Linked DNA regions of Astyanax mexicanus. The protein of the gene in region 1 purifies or fractionates together with the protein of each later gene. This does not show direct contact. Links are inferred from orthologs where the notes say so. Each region holds a gene or a part of one and is shown in the gene's direction. Other genes may lie near its edges. The genes, in order: xab2 and aqr.

Region 1 (8,787 bases):
GGTGTTTCAGTTTCATTGTCCAACCCCTGTTCTCTGTGGAATGGCTTAACATAAAGAACGATCAGTGTAGTAATGTCAAAATATATCTTTCTAATAACTGTTCTTGGATTTAAAACTCAAAACTGATCTCCATTCTGCTTCTAGAGGTAATCACGACATAAAGGTATATCTGGAGATATTTCTCAAGAGCTTTATTGGAGACAGGGTTTGTACGGTCACGAAAAAACTGGAAAAGTCATGGAATTTGAAAATAGCAATTTCCAGGCCTGGATAAGTTTTGGAAAAATAAAAATACCTAGAAAATTTTAGAAAAGTCTAGAAATTGGTCTACAAATCTTTGTGTTTCCGTTTATCGATGGAGAAAATCTATTTTAAGCTAACAAGAACGTCAGCTTAGAATTAATTCAGTAATTTAGCCCTATACTATAGAGCTCTCAGGATCTGAAACCCATTTTATTATTAAAGTTTGTGTGTCAGATTCATTTTAGGCCTACTATAATCCATTTAAATTATACTTTTAGTTGATTTTTGGTTTTATTGTCCATGTCTGCACTGATTTTTTAAAAATCGTATGGTCATGAGAATTTGCCTTTAAGGCATGGAAAAGTCAGGAAAAAAAAGAATGGAAATTTATTGGTTAAAATGTGTATAAACCATGTGGATAGGTTTATCTAGAATGTGTATAATGTATATGTGTGTATATGTGTGTATATATATGTACATGTATATGTGTGTATAATGTATATATGTGTATAAACCATGTGGATAGTTTATATTGCGTTTATTTAAAAATCGTATGGTCATGAAAATTTGCCTTTAAGGCATGGAAAAGTCATGAAAAAAAAAATTTAAATTTATTGGTTAAAATGTGTATAAACCATGTGGATGGGTTTATCTAGAGTCACCTTCTTGAACTGTGTGAAGAGTCTGGAGAATATGAAAGTGCTTTTAGGAGTGATGAATCACTGGGTATCACTTTTTCTCATCCCATAGTGACAAATCCAGAATCTACCTGTTAAACTTGGTGGAGGTGGAATAATAGGTCATGGCTCTTTTTCATGGATAATGAAGAGATAATGAAACTTGTTGTCATTATCTCCTTTCCTGATATTTTTACAGCACTAAACACAGAACAGTTCTTCACCCTTGTGGCCAACTCTCAGAGCAAACGAATGGATGACCAGAGAACTACAATGCCAGAAGTCAGAACGGAGAAACCATTCGTTCCACAGATCATCCTGACCCCGGAGTCGCCTGCACCCAGGAGAGCTTCCTCCAGACCCACGTCCCTCACACAGGATCCAGACCTGCTCACCAAGCCTCCACCAAGATCTGCCACTTTCAGCCCCGTCTCAGAGAAAGAGAGGACTCAGTATGATAATGTTTCCACCAAGGTGAGTAACATTATCTATACTACCTGGTAGTATAGTGGGGGCCTACAACCCCCCACTCTTAAACATTGCTTAGCATCATATCATACAATCTGCATACCTTTTTGCACATTGTAGTACAAAGTTTTGTTCTAAATTAATTCATCTACTGGATTTGTTTCCAAAATTAGTATTTTTTTGTTATCATAAGGATGTCTGTGTGTACTGGGAGTACAGCATAGAAGGCATTACCACCCACAGCGGACAGGGCAGTGGGTGTTAATGATAGACTGTCTAAAATTACAGCACCAGGTACAGTACTGTGGAGAAAATATGTATTTAATACCCTACAAATTTTGCAAGTTTTCTCACCTACAAACAAATTGAGAGGTCTGTAATTTTTATTGTAGGTACACTTTAACTATTAGAGACAGAATAAAAAATAAAAGAATAAAAAAATCACAATGTATGATTTTTAAATAAATAATCAACATTTTATTACATGAAATACGTTTATGATCACCTTCCAACCAGCAAGATAATAAAGCATGGGGGTGGAAACATTTTACTTTGCTGGTGCTTTCCAGCAAATGGGAAGGGACTGTAACATTTTGAAGGAAGGATGGATGGGGTCATGTATCACAAGATTTTAGCCAAAAACTTCTTTCCCTCAGTAAAAGCACTGACGATGGGTTGAGTCTGGGTCTTCCAGCATGACAATGACCCAAAACACATAGATACAAAAATTAAAGTGGATTTTAAGAAGGAAGAAGCATTTCAAGTTCCAAGAGTGGCCTAGCCAGTCTTCACACCTGAAACCAATAGAAAATCTTGTGATGGAGCCGAAACAGAGTGTTGCCAAGCAACAGACCTGAAATCTGAAAGATCTGGAGAAGATCTGTATGGAGGAAGAGTGGGCCAAAATCCCTGCTGCAGTGTGTGCAGACTCGGTCAAGAACTACAGCAAATGTCAGATTTTTTATTGCAAACAAAGGTTTCTGTATCAAATAATAAGTTATGTTTTTTATTGTATCAAATACTTATTTCATACAATTTAAGTGTACCTGAGATAAAAATTACAGATCTCTTCATTCTTTGTAGTTGGGAAAACTGTCTGAATTGCAAAATCGGCAGTGTATCAAATACTTATTTTCCCCACTTTATGTCTGTTTTGAGCCCTTAATAATAAAATAATAAAATTCCATTAGCTACTATTGGAACATGCAGAGCATGGCCAGGGAACAAGATACTAGTTCCTGTCCAAGACATTTGGCCTGTCAGTGTTGTACACTTGTTAAATATAAAGCAAACAAGCTATTTAGTGGCTTTTTGCTATAGCTTTGAGGTTAAAGATCAGTTTAATCACCATAATCTCCCTTCTTTATTGCAGCTTACCTTCAAAGTGTCCGTATGCCTCACTGCTCCCAAACAGGTGAGTGGACTGTAGGAATTGTGGACCAGTATTTATATCCGTTTTTTATGTGCATACCTGTCGATTCCAACACACATTTCTCTTTGCACTTTTCCCTGTCTTTCTCTCAGCAGAGTAACTCAGACGGTCAGCAGAGTTCTTCCCCAGACGTGTTCCTGACGATTGGAACACCAGCAGGGAAAAATTTTCTCCTTCCACTCACTCCTATGGTTTGCGGACCCCCATCTCTTGAGACGACACCCCGGCCCAGGAGACACCGCTCCAGGTCTTCCTCACCCTACCGAGCTCATGGACGAACGTCCCACCCCAGACCCTCCTCTCCTAGGCCTGCACCTCATCCTCCACCCATTGGAACTGATGAAGATTACTTCTCCCTCATTCACAGAGTCCACACAGCTCAGCTTCAGCAGGGAAACGCCGCAGAGAAGAGCCGGGAGCCAGGGAAGGGAAGAGAACGAGGGGATGGGAGGAGAGAGAGAAAGGATAGAGTGAAAAGAAAATAAGCATTATGAATGTACACTGAGCTCAGCTGCCAATTTATCAGAAACACATACTTTACTAAATTAAACCAAGGTTTAAAACTGTGTGAAATAAATGATTATGAAGGATTATCTCACTGTGTGATGATTGCATTTATTTGAGAGTTACATAAAAAATCTATGTGTCTGTGAACATTACACAGAAGCTCAATGGGATTTAGGTCAGGACTTTGACTGGGCCATTCTAACACATAAATATATTCCTTGATCTTAACCATTCCACTGTAGTTCTGGCTGTATGTTTAGGGTCTTGGTGAAAGATCAATCTTCACAGTTTTAAGTCTTTTGCAGCTTCCAACAGGTTTTTTCCAGGATTGCCCTGTATCTACCTTCTGCAACTAGAATTTAAATTGCAGGTCGACTTTGATATCAGTTCTCTTTTACCCTCGTGTGGTCATGCACACACAAACACACACACACACAGTTAAAGGTACGTTTCTTCTTTTCAAGCTATTTTCTCTATTAAAACTACCCTTAAAAATACCCTAAGATATACTACAATAAATCTACCTTGAGATATTACAATACAGCAAATCTACCCTGAGATACTATAATACAGCAAATCTACCCTGAGATATTATAATACAGTACGTCTACCCTGAGATATTATAATACAGCAAATCTACCCTGAGATATTATAATACAGCAAATCTACCCTGAGATACTATAATACAGCAAATCTACCCTGAGATACTATAATACAGCAAATCTACCCTGAGATACTATAATACAGCAAATCTACCCTGAGATATTACAATACAGTACGTCTACCCTGAGATATTATAATACAGCAAATCTACCCTGAGATATTATAATACAGTAAATCTACCCTGAATTATTATAATACAGTAAAACTACCCTGAAATATTAAAACACAGTAAAAAAAACTACAAACTAAAACAAAAATAGTATGCCAGATGTAAACCACACTTCACCATTATTACTGTCCCCTTCCCAAAAATACAGCTAATTACCAGAATTAAAAAAAAGGGAATCATGGTTTTATCCATGATTTAGTCACAAAATAGTGTTGTGATTAATACAATTATTTTTAAGGGATTGGCACCAATTATAAAAATCTGTTTATTTATTTTATTCACATTTAAATACCAATTATTCATATATTATTTATATATATATTTATATATATATATATAAATAAAGCTAAATAAGGAAAGATAAAGTGTGATTAATTGTGAGTTTTGTGTTCTACGCTGCTAATAAAAAATAAATTAATTTAAAAAAAGAAAGTGGTGAAGTTGGTTTTGCTGTTGCAGTTCCACCTTTAACCGGTGGGGGCAGTGTAATCCGCCAGCGCGGGCTCCAGTTCACCCGGCCCCAGCAGCGGGTGAAAGGTCGAGGGGGCGGAGCTAGTTAGCATTGCGTCCACAACACGTTCAGAGTAGCGGAGAAGCTAAAACGATTAAACAGTTTTATTTTACATTTATAGGTTTATAATTCAGTTCTTCTACCGGGAGAGGAACATGCCTACTTTTAACGGAAAACCGGACGTTACGTTTGTATGTATTTCTGTGTTTTTTATGGATAGAATATCACGGCTAGGCTACCAAGTATGGTATCTGTGGGAAGCTAACAGCTAATAATGGCTAACTTTCGTTACTATTTTAAAATCAGTTATTAAGATTTATTTAGGCAGAATTAGATAAATATGAAACATACACTGTAGTAGATAAATAGGACTGGCTGATACTTTTGCTGTGAGGACTGTTGTTTCTTTTTAGAACGTATTTTTGACACTTTTGTGGCTAACCCTAGCTAGTTAGCTATATTTACAAAACAGAGAAATCCGGTCTGAGATCAGTGTAATAAATTAGAAATGCATTTTGAATATTAGAGTTAACACTGGCTTTATAACCAGCTTGCTAGCTATATAAGCTGTTCTATAATGTCCCTATTCTTCATTTTGAGTTGGTATAATAGGATGAATTGTACTTTTTTTGTAATTAAAATTATTTGTAATTAAAATACATTCAAAGACATTCATAATACATAACTAAGGTGGACTATGAAGCTCTACAACGTAACTTATATTACATATGATTACTGCTACTGTTTCATTGGCTGGTTTATCATCTATTCTGATGAACAACAACAGGTCTCAATTAGTTTTCTGTCCATCAAAACATTAGAAAAAAGAAACTACATATGTTCTACACATGTTCATATTTATGTAATTGACGTATATTGTAATTGATGTAATTTAATTCAAGTATAATTGAATTTAATATACTTAAATTATGCATTACCTTGCTGTATCCAAGTCTTTAAAATGGTTCAATTCAAATGTATAAGTCTGAAGTTCTGAATTCTGCATTCTGCCCTGGTGTTTGTAAAGTTAACTAACTCCATAAATGAATCTCTCAGGAAGAAGATGACTTGCCCTATGAAGAGGAAATCATCAGGAATCCATATTCAGTCAAGTGTTGGATGCGCTACATTGAACACAAGCAAAGTGGCTCCAAGTCAGTGCTTAATATGATCTACGAGCGAGCGCTGAAGGAGCTACCTGGCAGGTAAATGCAGCTACTCCATTTAAAACCATTCATTGTATTTTGATGGGAAAAAAGTTAATGGTTGTTGTTTTATGTATGTAAAAAACAATGTATGTATTTGTTTTTCTTCAACTACAGTTACAAACTGTGGTACAACTATTTGAGGGAGCGGAGGAAGCAGGTCAAGGGAAAATGCGTAACAGATCCCGCTTATGAGGAAATCAACAACTGCCATGAGAGAGCACTGGTGTTTATGCACAAGGTAAAATTACTAGTATCCTATTCTGGAGTTACAACAAATTACTTTTCATGTGATTTCACAGTTGCTTGTTTTAATGTTTTACTGGGAAGGACAATATTTTTTGTCTTCTTTTTCCACAATGCTTTTCTGGTCTATCACCAGCTCACATCATGTGATTTATATGTATACAAACGAATGCACTTTTAGTTGATTAGCTCAGTTGCCAGCTCTGTAGGTTTTAAAATGTTTTTTTTTTTTAATAATTCGATGTAAAATGAATGTGTAAAATGAAAATGATTAGATGAAAAATGTTAGCCTACTAATATGTATTTTTTATCAATCATCAAATAAGAGAGTGATTTAGTTAAATGAATGTATTTGTTGTAGCTGTTATAATGTATTTAATTTGTATATTTATTACAATTTAAAAGTAAGCATGTTAATGATAATGTTAATGATATCCCCCACAATTTTGGGCATTTTCTTGCTTTTTCTCACCAGATTCATTGTTTGTGCAGGAGGCAGAAATACACAGCATTCCTTAACATCAGACATTAATACCACCATAAATTAGTGTCTTCTAGGGGTGTCACGATTTCGATATTTTATCAAAATCGATCGAAATTATGACATGGTCTTGAGCCTCGAAGTAAAAAAGAGGATCGACGATCCCTCCCACAAATGCCGCAGCACGCTCAGCAAATGGCGCAGCGCACTGTAGCCCAGGGTTTTTCAACAGAGAGAGAGCGACTGCTTGAGCGCAGCCCCACCCTCCGACAAAAAGTTCCGTTGTGTGTGAGAGAGACACACACACACACACACACACACACACACACGAGCCTCTCACACGCAGAACAGCTGCCTTTCAACCGCAGAGGAGAAGCTGAAAACGGATTTATAGAACTAAAGAAATAAAGAAAATCGTAAAAAGTAAAAAAAAAAAAAAAAAAGAAAATCAAGAATCAAATCGTGACCCTAAAATCGGAAATAAAATCGAATCGAGGATTTAGAGAATCGTGACACCCCTAGTGTCTTCTGTCCTGTGATTTCTAAAAGTTTTGAACTAATAATAGATTTTGCACTTCATGCTTCTTCTTCTTTTTTTTTCCAGATGCCGAGGATATGGCTGGATTACTGTCAGTTCATTGTGTCTCAGTGCAAAATCACAAGGAGCCGTCGTACCTTCGACCGAGCGCTCAGAGCCCTACCCATCACTCAGCATTCCCGAATCTGGCCTCTGTACCTCAAGTTTGCACGAAACTTACCTCTGCCTGAGACCGCCATTCGCGTTTATCGTAGATACCTCAAGGTAAGAAGGTGTAATTGTAGAGCAGTGACTCCAACTTGTTATTGAACCCTACTGAATATACAGAGCATAATACTGTACAATTGCCGTATTTCTTGCACTATAAGGCGCACTTCAAATCTTTTAGTTTTCCCAAAAATCTTCAGTGTGGCTTATGTATGAATTTTACCAGTCAGGTATTAAGGAGCAGTAAATCCATTTTGCTGATGGATTGTACAGTGTTGTAAAGGTGTTTCAGTTTAGTTCCTTAGCAGAGCAACTGGAACAGAATTAGCATTAGCTGCTATCTCTCTTCGTCATTTAGACGCTATGTGGGACAAACCACTAGCTGATATCGCCCTGGCTTACCAGAACACATTTAGAATTCCTCAGTATAGCGCTGCCGGGCAGCATTTACTAGCCATTTAATAACCAAGGCTAGCAGTTAGCCTCTAATGCTAATGCTGCTGCACCCAGCCTTAATGGAAATCTGGAAATCTAAGCTTACTGTAAATAAACTAAAGTGCTTTACTCATCTATATGAATCGCTTTCAGGAGAGAAATCTGTGTAGATTTACATCCGGTGCTTGTTTGACTTTAAAAGAAAATGTTTTTATTTAGGAGTTACTGATTTTGTTTACTTGGCTTTGCTTAACTTAGTTACCCCCCACCAACTCCCAGCGGCGAGACCTGATGACCTGATTCCTTACTAGTTTTGCGTAACGCGCCTTTTAATCCAGTGCACCTTATGTATGTTTATTGATAGTGCACCTTATAATCTGGAGCACCTAATAGTGCGAAAAATACGGTGCAAGAACAAGAATATTGTTAGTATAGTTCTATACTCCATAATTTAATGCTTAATAATTTTTTTTTTTAGATGTCGTATAATTGATCATTTTTACGTGCTGCCAGATACAAACACTGACATTTTTTTTTGCAACACCGAACACTTAGTTCTGACTCTCTCCTTTCCTCTGCTCTCTTCAGCTCTCTCCAGAGAACACAGAGGAGTACATTGATTACCTGCGCTCTGTAGGACGGCTGGATGAGGCAGCAGTCCGGCTGGCAGCTGTGGTTAATGATGAAAGCTTTGTCTCGAAAGAAGGGAAGTCAAACTACCAGGTCAGCATTTTACAGGATTTTAGTTCATCTACGTTTAGTTCATTAACGTTCGGGCTCTTTGTAGAGAAATCTGAGCTCATACATGTCTTGGTTTGTTTCCAACTGTAGCTCTGGCACGAGCTGTGTGACCTCATCTCCCAGAACCCAGACAAGGTGACCTCGCTGAATGTGGGCGCCATCATTCGTGGCGGCCTCACCCGCTTCACGGACCAGTTAGGCAAGCTCTGGTGCTCCATGGCTGACTACTACATCCGCAGTGGCCACTTTGAGAAGGTATGATCA
Region 2 (8,708 bases), on another chromosome or scaffold:
ATGATGTGACAGTGGTGTGAGGAACTGTGAAAATGGATGACAGCATTGAGGGAGGTTTTCAGTAGTGGGATAGTGAGGTAACAGACCTCTGTTATATGTATGTTTGTGTTCATTTGTCTGTTCAAATCACCTAAAGAAATTACAGAATGCAGCTAGAAGAGGGGGTTGATGCAGCATCAAAGAAAAATTTAAAGACTAAAAGCGAAGTTTTAAGTAACCAGGAAACAAAACCTAAGAAAAGGTGTCTAAATAGCCTGTCCTTTTAACAGCAAGCTCAAACTTATTTTTGGTAAGAAGAGCAGTTGTCTCCCACTGAAACTGACTGATATTTTTTGATGCTAGTGAAGATAAAACCGAAACTTCATGTGCTGCTTTGCTCTTTTTTGTCCATGTTTGTTAGTTTACTATCAGATCAGGTGTGTGATATACAACTCTGAAAAAATAAGACACCACTGAAAAATGATGAGTTTCTTTAATTTTACCAAATTGAAAACCTCTGGAATGTAATGGTGAATTTTTGCACCAGGAGTGGCATAAAGTTATCCAAAAGCAGTGTGTAAGACTGGTGGAGGAGAACATGCCAATATGAATAAAAACTGTGATTAAAAACCAGGGTTACTCCACCAAATATTAATTACGGGGGGTGTACAGTGTGTGTTTATCGAAAATGTGTTTTGATATATGTTTTTCACAAAAAATGAGCCAATGTCAATGAGTTTGAGTTAGAAAAAATATTTTTTTAGTATCATTTGATGAAAAATGAAAACGGGTCCCACAGACCCGAACACCACACAAGGGTTAAATAGTTCTTTGTCTCAGTTTTTGTACATCGTTCTATATGGCAACAAAAAGTGGTTCACTTTGGTTACCATTTTTGATGGTTTGGGAACGCCCACACCTGTAGTTGTTGTGAGGTGTTATCTTGTGAGTGCTTTTTGTAGGCACTCTGACCAGTGCTGTGCTTATGGCAAGTGCACTAGGAACAAATCATAGAAGACTGATATTTCCACCCAGAGTGGGCAGCAGAGCAGTGTGTGGAATGATGTGACTGGCTAGAAGTGTCTGTGCAAGCTGATAAGCGACTCTGGCAGAAATCACATCCAACCAACAGGTGAGTACATTTATTTATTCTAAATACTATTCTTTATGTATTGTAATAGTATACAGTGTATTCATTGTTACGCATTCTGAACATAATCATAATTTATAATTTCAGATAAACAGAAAAGACAAGCTCGGTCTAGACCCTGAGTTGAGCATTCATGTCCTCGTATTCTTAGCCGCACACACAGTGCAGTGCAGCTGTGAGAAGGGCAGGGAGTACATCGCCTCTTCAGTGTCAACAACATCTCACATACTCTGCATAGTCCAGTGCCACCCAGAACCAGACAGCCATCGCTGCCACCACAATAAGCGGCTGTGTCACTCACACAGACACGGGCAGGGACAGCGTGTCTACAACCCCGTTCCCATCACTCTGTCAGCACGTAGGCCTAGACAGAGGATCATGTTTTTGTGTCTTTAACTGATTCATCTTTTACAAATGGAAATGAAAGCTTGTGTTGGTTTTAATAAAGATATTATTTTGTTTTGCTCTGTAGGAAATGAACAACCACTACACAGGGTAACAGATGCAGCAATTCAGATCCTCATTCATGTGGTCAGAAAGCTCAGAGGGCTCTTATTATGGAAATGGAAGCATACTAGGATTTGGTGACATGAATGCTTGTGAATTTTTTGAGTGAATATAAAACTGTGTTGATCTCTGTAGCTACTAGACTGCTTTGATAGTATATGGCTGTTAAAACAAATCATGCATTGTATTTATCATGTTACAGTACAGTAATCATAAAAAAGACTAGAGAGATTAGGACTATAGAAGTACAACTATATAGCCTATTTTATATTGTTTTAATCTGATCTAATACTTAAGAAGAAAAAAATCAATGCAGAAATATTCAGAGATAGACTATATGTGAGTGTATTAAGTGGAGTGTGGCGCCCTCGTGTGGCAATAGTTCAAAACTGCTTTATCACAAGACGTTTGTGATCAAGCGTCTTGTTGCTCCTTTCATCAGTTAAAAGGACTTGCACAAATGATCTGTGCTTTAATTATACTTTTTAGTCATTTTTAATAGGATCAGAATCTCAGAACTTACTTTAAAAAAGCTACTGGAAACCACAAAATGCATTTAAAAATGTATTTAATATAGCTAGTATCTTTGTTTTATAAAGTAAAACAACATTTTTACCAAGAAACCATAGAAATATTTTTAAGGTGGCTGTTGGTTATGTAAAATAACTGCTTGTCTGCCAGAAAAGTAAAACAAATCCTTGTTTGACTTCAAGGTCTTTATTTTAAGCCCAGCGCAAAGCATGTCACAATGCTCATTTCTATCCCAAGAAACAGTTTTTTCCTCGCCTTGTGCCTGCATTATTTAAATAGTAAAGGTGCTTGTGAATATACAGCTCTGGAACTAAAAACTATGAGTTTCTTTGATTTTACCAAATTGAAAACCTCTGGAATATAACAAGAGAAAGATGGAACTTGAATTTTTGCACCAGGAGTAAAGGCATAAAGTTTTCCAAAAGCAGTGCGTAAGACTGGTGGAGGAGAACATGCCAAGATTCATCTAAACTGTGATTAAGAAACAGGGTTATTCCACCAAATATTGATTTCTGAACTCTTAACTTTATAAATATTAACTTGTTTTCTTTACATCATTTGAGGGCTCTGCGTCTTTTATTTTCAGCCATTTCTCATTTTCTGCAAATAAATGCTCTAAATATTTTTATTTGTAATTTGGGAGAATTGTTGTCTGTAGTTTATAGAATAAAACAACAATGTTCATTTTACTCAAACATATACCTATAAATAGCAACATTAGCAAACTGATTCAGAAACTGAAGTGGTCTCTTAATTTTTTCCAGAGCTATATCTATGCCGATGGGTGTGGTGGTCTGGAAATGATGTGTGTTCAGGAAAATTGTGCCATGCTCCTTCCATTTTTTAGATGATGGGTTAAACAGTGTAAAAACGAATTCATGAATTATATATACATGAATTCAGGTAATTACCAGAAGATCTTTTTTATTCCAAGTACAAAATGGCTATAAAATGCAAAAATAAAACTTTTTTTTTTCAGGTTTCCTGTATTTCTAATTGTGAGGGGCTAAAATAGAACACTTGAACATTGGAAAATAATTGAAAACACATTTCTTCTTTAATATATTAAATGGAAAATATAAAATAATTTCATTTTATATTTTTATTTTATTTAATTACAATTAAGCCTTAAACGGTCAGAAAATTTAACAGATGAACATTATACTGACCCCTGGTGACCCCTAAACCACAAACCATAAACATTTGCTTTTGGACTAATGGAGGAGTTCTTCTTAAAACCACAAAGATAGCTCACAGGGTTAATTATTTACTTTGTTTTAAGAATAAACTTAAGATGCAACATGACATTTGATCAACAATTTGTAAAAAAGTAACTTGTTTTTTACAAAAATTAGGAAACAGACTTTCTTTTCATTTTATTTTTTTTTCTGTTTTTTTTTGTAAGATTTTAAAAGATTTCTAATCGATCATTAAATCCTTTTTTAAACCTTAAAAATTTTGAAAAATTATTTTGTTCTTAATTTACAATAGGCTTGAAAAGGTGAAATTAGCGTGACGTTGAGAAATCACTTATATTGTTATAATTACTTACATATTTATTGATTAATTACATTTTTCACTATTTTTTTATTTATTTTGCTTTCTTGTGACTTTTATTTTGGCATTAATGTACACCAGTTACTAGCTTCACTGTGTTCTACCAGAGATTTTTTATGGAGGAGAATATCCACTTTTGGGTTCATCGGACCACAAGAGGGCGCTTTTGAGTAAATTCTAAACGAATGGGTTTATAAATGTTCATTTTTATACTGAAATGTATGCTAATTTTCTCAACACAGAGCAATATTAAATGTTTCAATGTACCAAATGCATAATTAAAAAATAAAAAAGCTTTTATAGCTTAAACTCCAGTTATAAACCTTTTAAACTCAGAGCACCAACCAGTCAGCTTACAGTAGCAGTAATGCCTAGCTTCTTCACTTCATAAAACTTGTTTACTGTAGAATTATTGAAACTTACAGGTATGTCGTATTTGCATTTTAACGAAATACTTCTATTTAGAAATAATCTATTTTCTAAAATTGATTTAAATATTTAACTCAGTTAATTACTATTTTTATTTTTATTTTCGTTTTTAACCGTTTAGCTTCATTCACCGCCATTCATTGAGGGCTCACTCGCGGGCTCCCTCTAGCGTTTTGCAGTAATTTTATAAAATAACTGGGGAGATGTGGAGACAGAGTTGCCAGGTTCGCAGCTTTCCTGCATAACTAGACTTGTTTGAAAATGTAGGGGTGGCGGGGTGCTGGATCAAAAACTTTTTTTAAAAAAGCCCCTGGTGGTGTCTGTGTAATTTGTGTAATGTGTAATCAGTTCAAATTTCTGTTTAAGGCTAAATTAGAAAATAGGGTGTAAACATATATATATATATATATATATATATATATATATATATATATATATATATATATATATATATATATATATATATATATATATATATTTTTTTTTTTTTTTTTCATTTGGCGTTGTCAAGAAAAAAACTAGTTTTACAATTTTCTTCTTTTTCATTTCTGCCCCACAAATTTCAGAATTTGTTTTCTTAAAAAATGAACAAAATTGCTACAAAATGCAAAAAAAAAAAAAAAAACTGTTTCCTGTATTTCTGATTGTAAGGGGCTAAAATAGAAAAAAATTACAACATTAAGAACCAGCATAACATAACACATTAAGGACAGCATTAAAAGGAGAGTGTAACCGGGAGAAATCAAAATGTAACCAGAAATTACCAGGCGATGAAAAAAGTTACTTTTACATGTTATTGACTGGGATATAAACCGGTTATAAAAGTAAAGTCAAGCCAAGAGGCTTTAAGAACTAATAAAACACTAATGTTACAATATTATTGATGACTTTAAGATAAATAACAATACTGATAAACCCTTACGAACAAAATACTAAGTCGTACACTCATGGTTGTCTTGCCATTTGCTTCAAATGTGTGAGAGGCATATATTTTGGGCTAGTTTAAGCTTCCAAAGGGCGGGTTTTAGATTTACTTTGGGCTGGATATTTTTTATTGGACCTGGCAACCCTGTGTGGAGAGGAAGTGCGCAGGCTCGCTGTAAACCAGCTCTGGTTGTAGTGCGCGCACACATGTTAGCTAGCAACACGAGCTAACAACGTATTAATGACGTTTTAGCGGGTAAACAAGGTATTTATGAATTATTCGCTTTTATATTCAATTAAAGAACATATTAACTAACAACAGGCTGGTAGATAGTTTGTTTGGGGTAACTGGTTTAAATAGTAGCGTTTTGTTTAGGTCTGCTGGTGCTGAGTTTGTTTGTTAGCTTGGTTAGCTAACTACTGTTTGTACTGAAGTGTAACTTATTGATACGGAATTTAATTAGTTATTTTACAAGAGTTTAAAATCCCAGTAAATAACATTAAATAATAACAAAATTAGCAAAAAATGACTTTACTCATTTTTGTTCTGTTTTTGCCTCTTCTGAACTCTTTTCTAACTAATTTAACGTTACTGTTTGAATGAATTAAAATTGAATGGGATAAGTTACAGCATAGTCATGTATACTAGCTGACTAATTAGCCCTATGGCAGCAGTTTAGACCTTTTTTGTGGGTATTTCTGCCAGTTCTGTCTGTTTTCGGTTAAGTAGCTGAGTGTTTTGTTTGTGACTATGTTTGATAAATGTTAAATGGACCTCCACAGGTTGTGTGGCGTTAGCTAGTGAAGACGTTATGGAGAAGGACGCTCGGGTGAAGAAGACTGCAGCTCCGTCTGTGTCTCAGATTAACGCAGAATATGTGACTCAGGTAAGAACTTTAGCTGTGAAATATGAAGGTGAAAGACTGTGGTTTAAGTCCAGTTGGCTAAAATATTTTATTTCCATTGCATTGGAAGTATGTGTGTAAAATGTTTATATTTCATAAATCACCCCTAAACAGTAAAAACAGTGCTCTAAATCACATTAATTTACTACAAATGAGCTGTTACTTTGCCTCAATAGCTCTGTTACTAACCTACTGTTTTCCCAGTTTAGTAAACGGGGCCAAGTTACTGTTTCATTGGTTTATAAACTTGTTCATTGACTGGTTCATAGTCTATTCTGATGGACAACAGCTCTCACATGGTGTTATGTGCAATAAAACATTTAAAAAATAATTGTAATGTATGCAGGGCCTAAAAGAGTTAACAAATAGCTAATTTCTATAGCTAAGTTATTGTGAGGACTGCTAGGCTTAGCAAACCTATTAAAATTAAGTGTGTTTCCAGGAAGTTGATTGCAAGTAGACATGTTTTTTTATATATATATGTGTTTTTGTCTGTGTATTGGAACAACAACAAAATAAAAAACAGAAGGAAAAAAAAAAATTAATATAAGCTAATTTCATCCAAAAGAAAAAATGAGCCATACAAAGTGATTGGTACCCTCAACTTGAAGTTGAATTCCGGTGTGAAATGGACATTGGGATGTAGTGAAACATGATAATGAGTTAAAACTTTATTTGAATAGCCCACCTCTGTTCTCCTCCAGCATTCTGAAATACAGTGCTTTTAGCTAATGCTCCCAACAGTCTTACAGTGCAAATGATGGGGTCATAGCATTGCCCATGCAAAGAAATCACTGTTTTTACACCATTAACAAACTCGAAGTAGCTCCACACTTCATTGGTAGAATTCTGAGGGCCCTGACGTTTAAAACAAGGCACTGAGAACTTCGAAAATGCACAGGTACAACATTACATTAGCTATATTTACCGTACACAGAGGGATTTTTTTTCACCGTTCTCTTCAGTGGTCATGGTCCAGCAGGACCACCACAGAGCAGTTATTATACATAGGGTGATTCTAAGCACTGCAGTGACACTTAGATGGTTGTAGTCATTGCATAAGGGTGTTGTACTGGTATAAGTGAAACAGCACAGCAGTGCTGCTGGAGTTTTTAAACACTGTTCACTCACTGTCCACTGACACTCCTACTTTGGAGATAAAGTAAAGGGAAAGACAGAAGCTCTGTCTGTAATCTGTTGCTGTACACTTTGGTGGTCGCAGAACACTTTCAACAAGATGCTGTTGGCTGGAGATTTCTGGATGGTGGACAATTCTCAGTCCAGCAGTGACACTGAGGTTAAAAATTGAGGTGTCATCCACTTGTACCAGCGCTACACTCACTGACACCATCCCCATGTCAGTGACACAGCAGTGGTAAAAATAAACCACCACATCATCATCATACCTGCTTTGTGGTGGATCCTCTGGTGTTCCTGGTCATTGAAGGAGGTTAAATAAAAGAGTACAAAGAATCGGATGGACTGCAGTCCAATGAGAGTAGAAGCAAGCAGGTGGTCATAATATTCTGATATGAAGGTGTGTTTGAGACTGTTTGAGACAGATTCTTAAAGTGGCAGTAACTGTACACAAAATGGAAAGAATAAAACCACTTAAAACTTACAGACAAATTACTTATAAGGAATCACATATAGTAAATAATTGTAAAAGAAATGTTTACATAGTTGTTGTTTTAAGCATGTAGCTAGTTCATGAGCGTTAAATGTATCTTTCATAAACTCAAAGTTACTCAACTGTTTAAATAGTGATATAATCCACCACATATAGACATTGTTGGCTACATCTTTTCTTAAGGCTGTCCTCTCATGTTCTGTTTTCTTTTTTAGCTCTCAGTTAAATATTGGGCTCCTCATGCCAAGAATAAGCTGCCGTTTGACTGTAAGGTAAGGAATACATTTATGTATGTGGTCATGTTTTATCGTACTGCAGTTGATTGTCTCTGAAAACTGCATTAGCCTGATATGTGCATTCTTAATTGTCACTTTACTTTACTGGCATTGTTAACACAATGCAGTTCAGATCTCAGTGTTATGTGAATCAGGGATTTTACGAGGGTTTTTCTGACATAATGTGAATATTATACAAAAAAATGCTTCATCTAGTCAAAAATCCCCCTTAAACATTGTGCCTATTTTATTTTTTTAACAGGTCATTGAAGATGTCTATCAGAATGAAATTTTCAAATCAAAGTAAGTATGCTAGCATTATTATGTTAACTATTGCCCTAACATCGTACCACCAACCCTGGGAAGATAAAAATCGCACACTCGCTGGAATTAAAGCTTTTTTTGGACAGATAAATTGTGTGCGAAAAAAATAATTGATCATAAACTGGTTCATCACGTTGGTGTATACTAGTGCTGTTGCCTCTATGGCAAGGTTAAGAAACATTTCTTTACTCTCCTTATGTATGTAGGTATGTATGAAGTATTGAGAATTTGTTGTTGGTGAGGTCAAAATGTTGGATGATCACTACCACACCTTGTCCCAAAAGTATTAAACATAGTATTATCAATTCATAGAACACAGTTCTCTATGCTATTGGCAATATTTCTCTACATAGACTATACATGCCATGTATATGCATTTGTATATCTGTGTTCAGTAAGTGTAAAGGGTGGCTGAGTGTGTTAATAGGACATTTAGTCATATTTCCTTGTGTTTCACTGCATTTAGAACACATTTTATCATTATTGCATTGTTTTAA

Evidence for each region.
Region 2: the proteins of xab2 (region 1) and aqr fractionate together in Homo sapiens (co-fractionation; 3 studies listed by BioGRID and IntAct, with this or other methods). This does not show direct contact. The link is inferred for Astyanax mexicanus from reciprocal best matches to the Homo sapiens genes XAB2 and AQR.

Annotation. Positions count from the first base shown.
Region 1 is NC_064410.1:4,829,262-4,838,048, reverse strand, and holds the start of xab2 (pre-mRNA-splicing factor SYF1), read left to right. Parts: upstream 1-4,685; 5' UTR 4,686-4,825; coding exon 4,826-4,861; intron 4,862-5,726; coding exon 5,727-5,875; intron 5,876-5,992; coding exon 5,993-6,116; intron 6,117-7,206; coding exon 7,207-7,404; intron 7,405-8,370; coding exon 8,371-8,505; intron 8,506-8,613; coding exon 8,614-8,778; intron 8,779-8,787. Other genes in the region: uncharacterized protein LOC103046674, read left to right, coding at 1,120-1,394, 2,761-2,802, 2,913-3,305. UniProt on the Homo sapiens protein: Involved in pre-mRNA splicing as component of the spliceosome. Involved in transcription-coupled repair (TCR), transcription and pre-mRNA splicing.
Region 2 is NC_064421.1:15,192,093-15,200,800, forward strand, and holds the start of aqr (RNA helicase aquarius), read left to right. Parts: upstream 1-5,233; 5' UTR 5,234-5,342; intron 5,343-5,860; 5' UTR 5,861-5,889; coding exon 5,890-5,964; intron 5,965-7,827; coding exon 7,828-7,884; intron 7,885-8,149; coding exon 8,150-8,190; intron 8,191-8,708.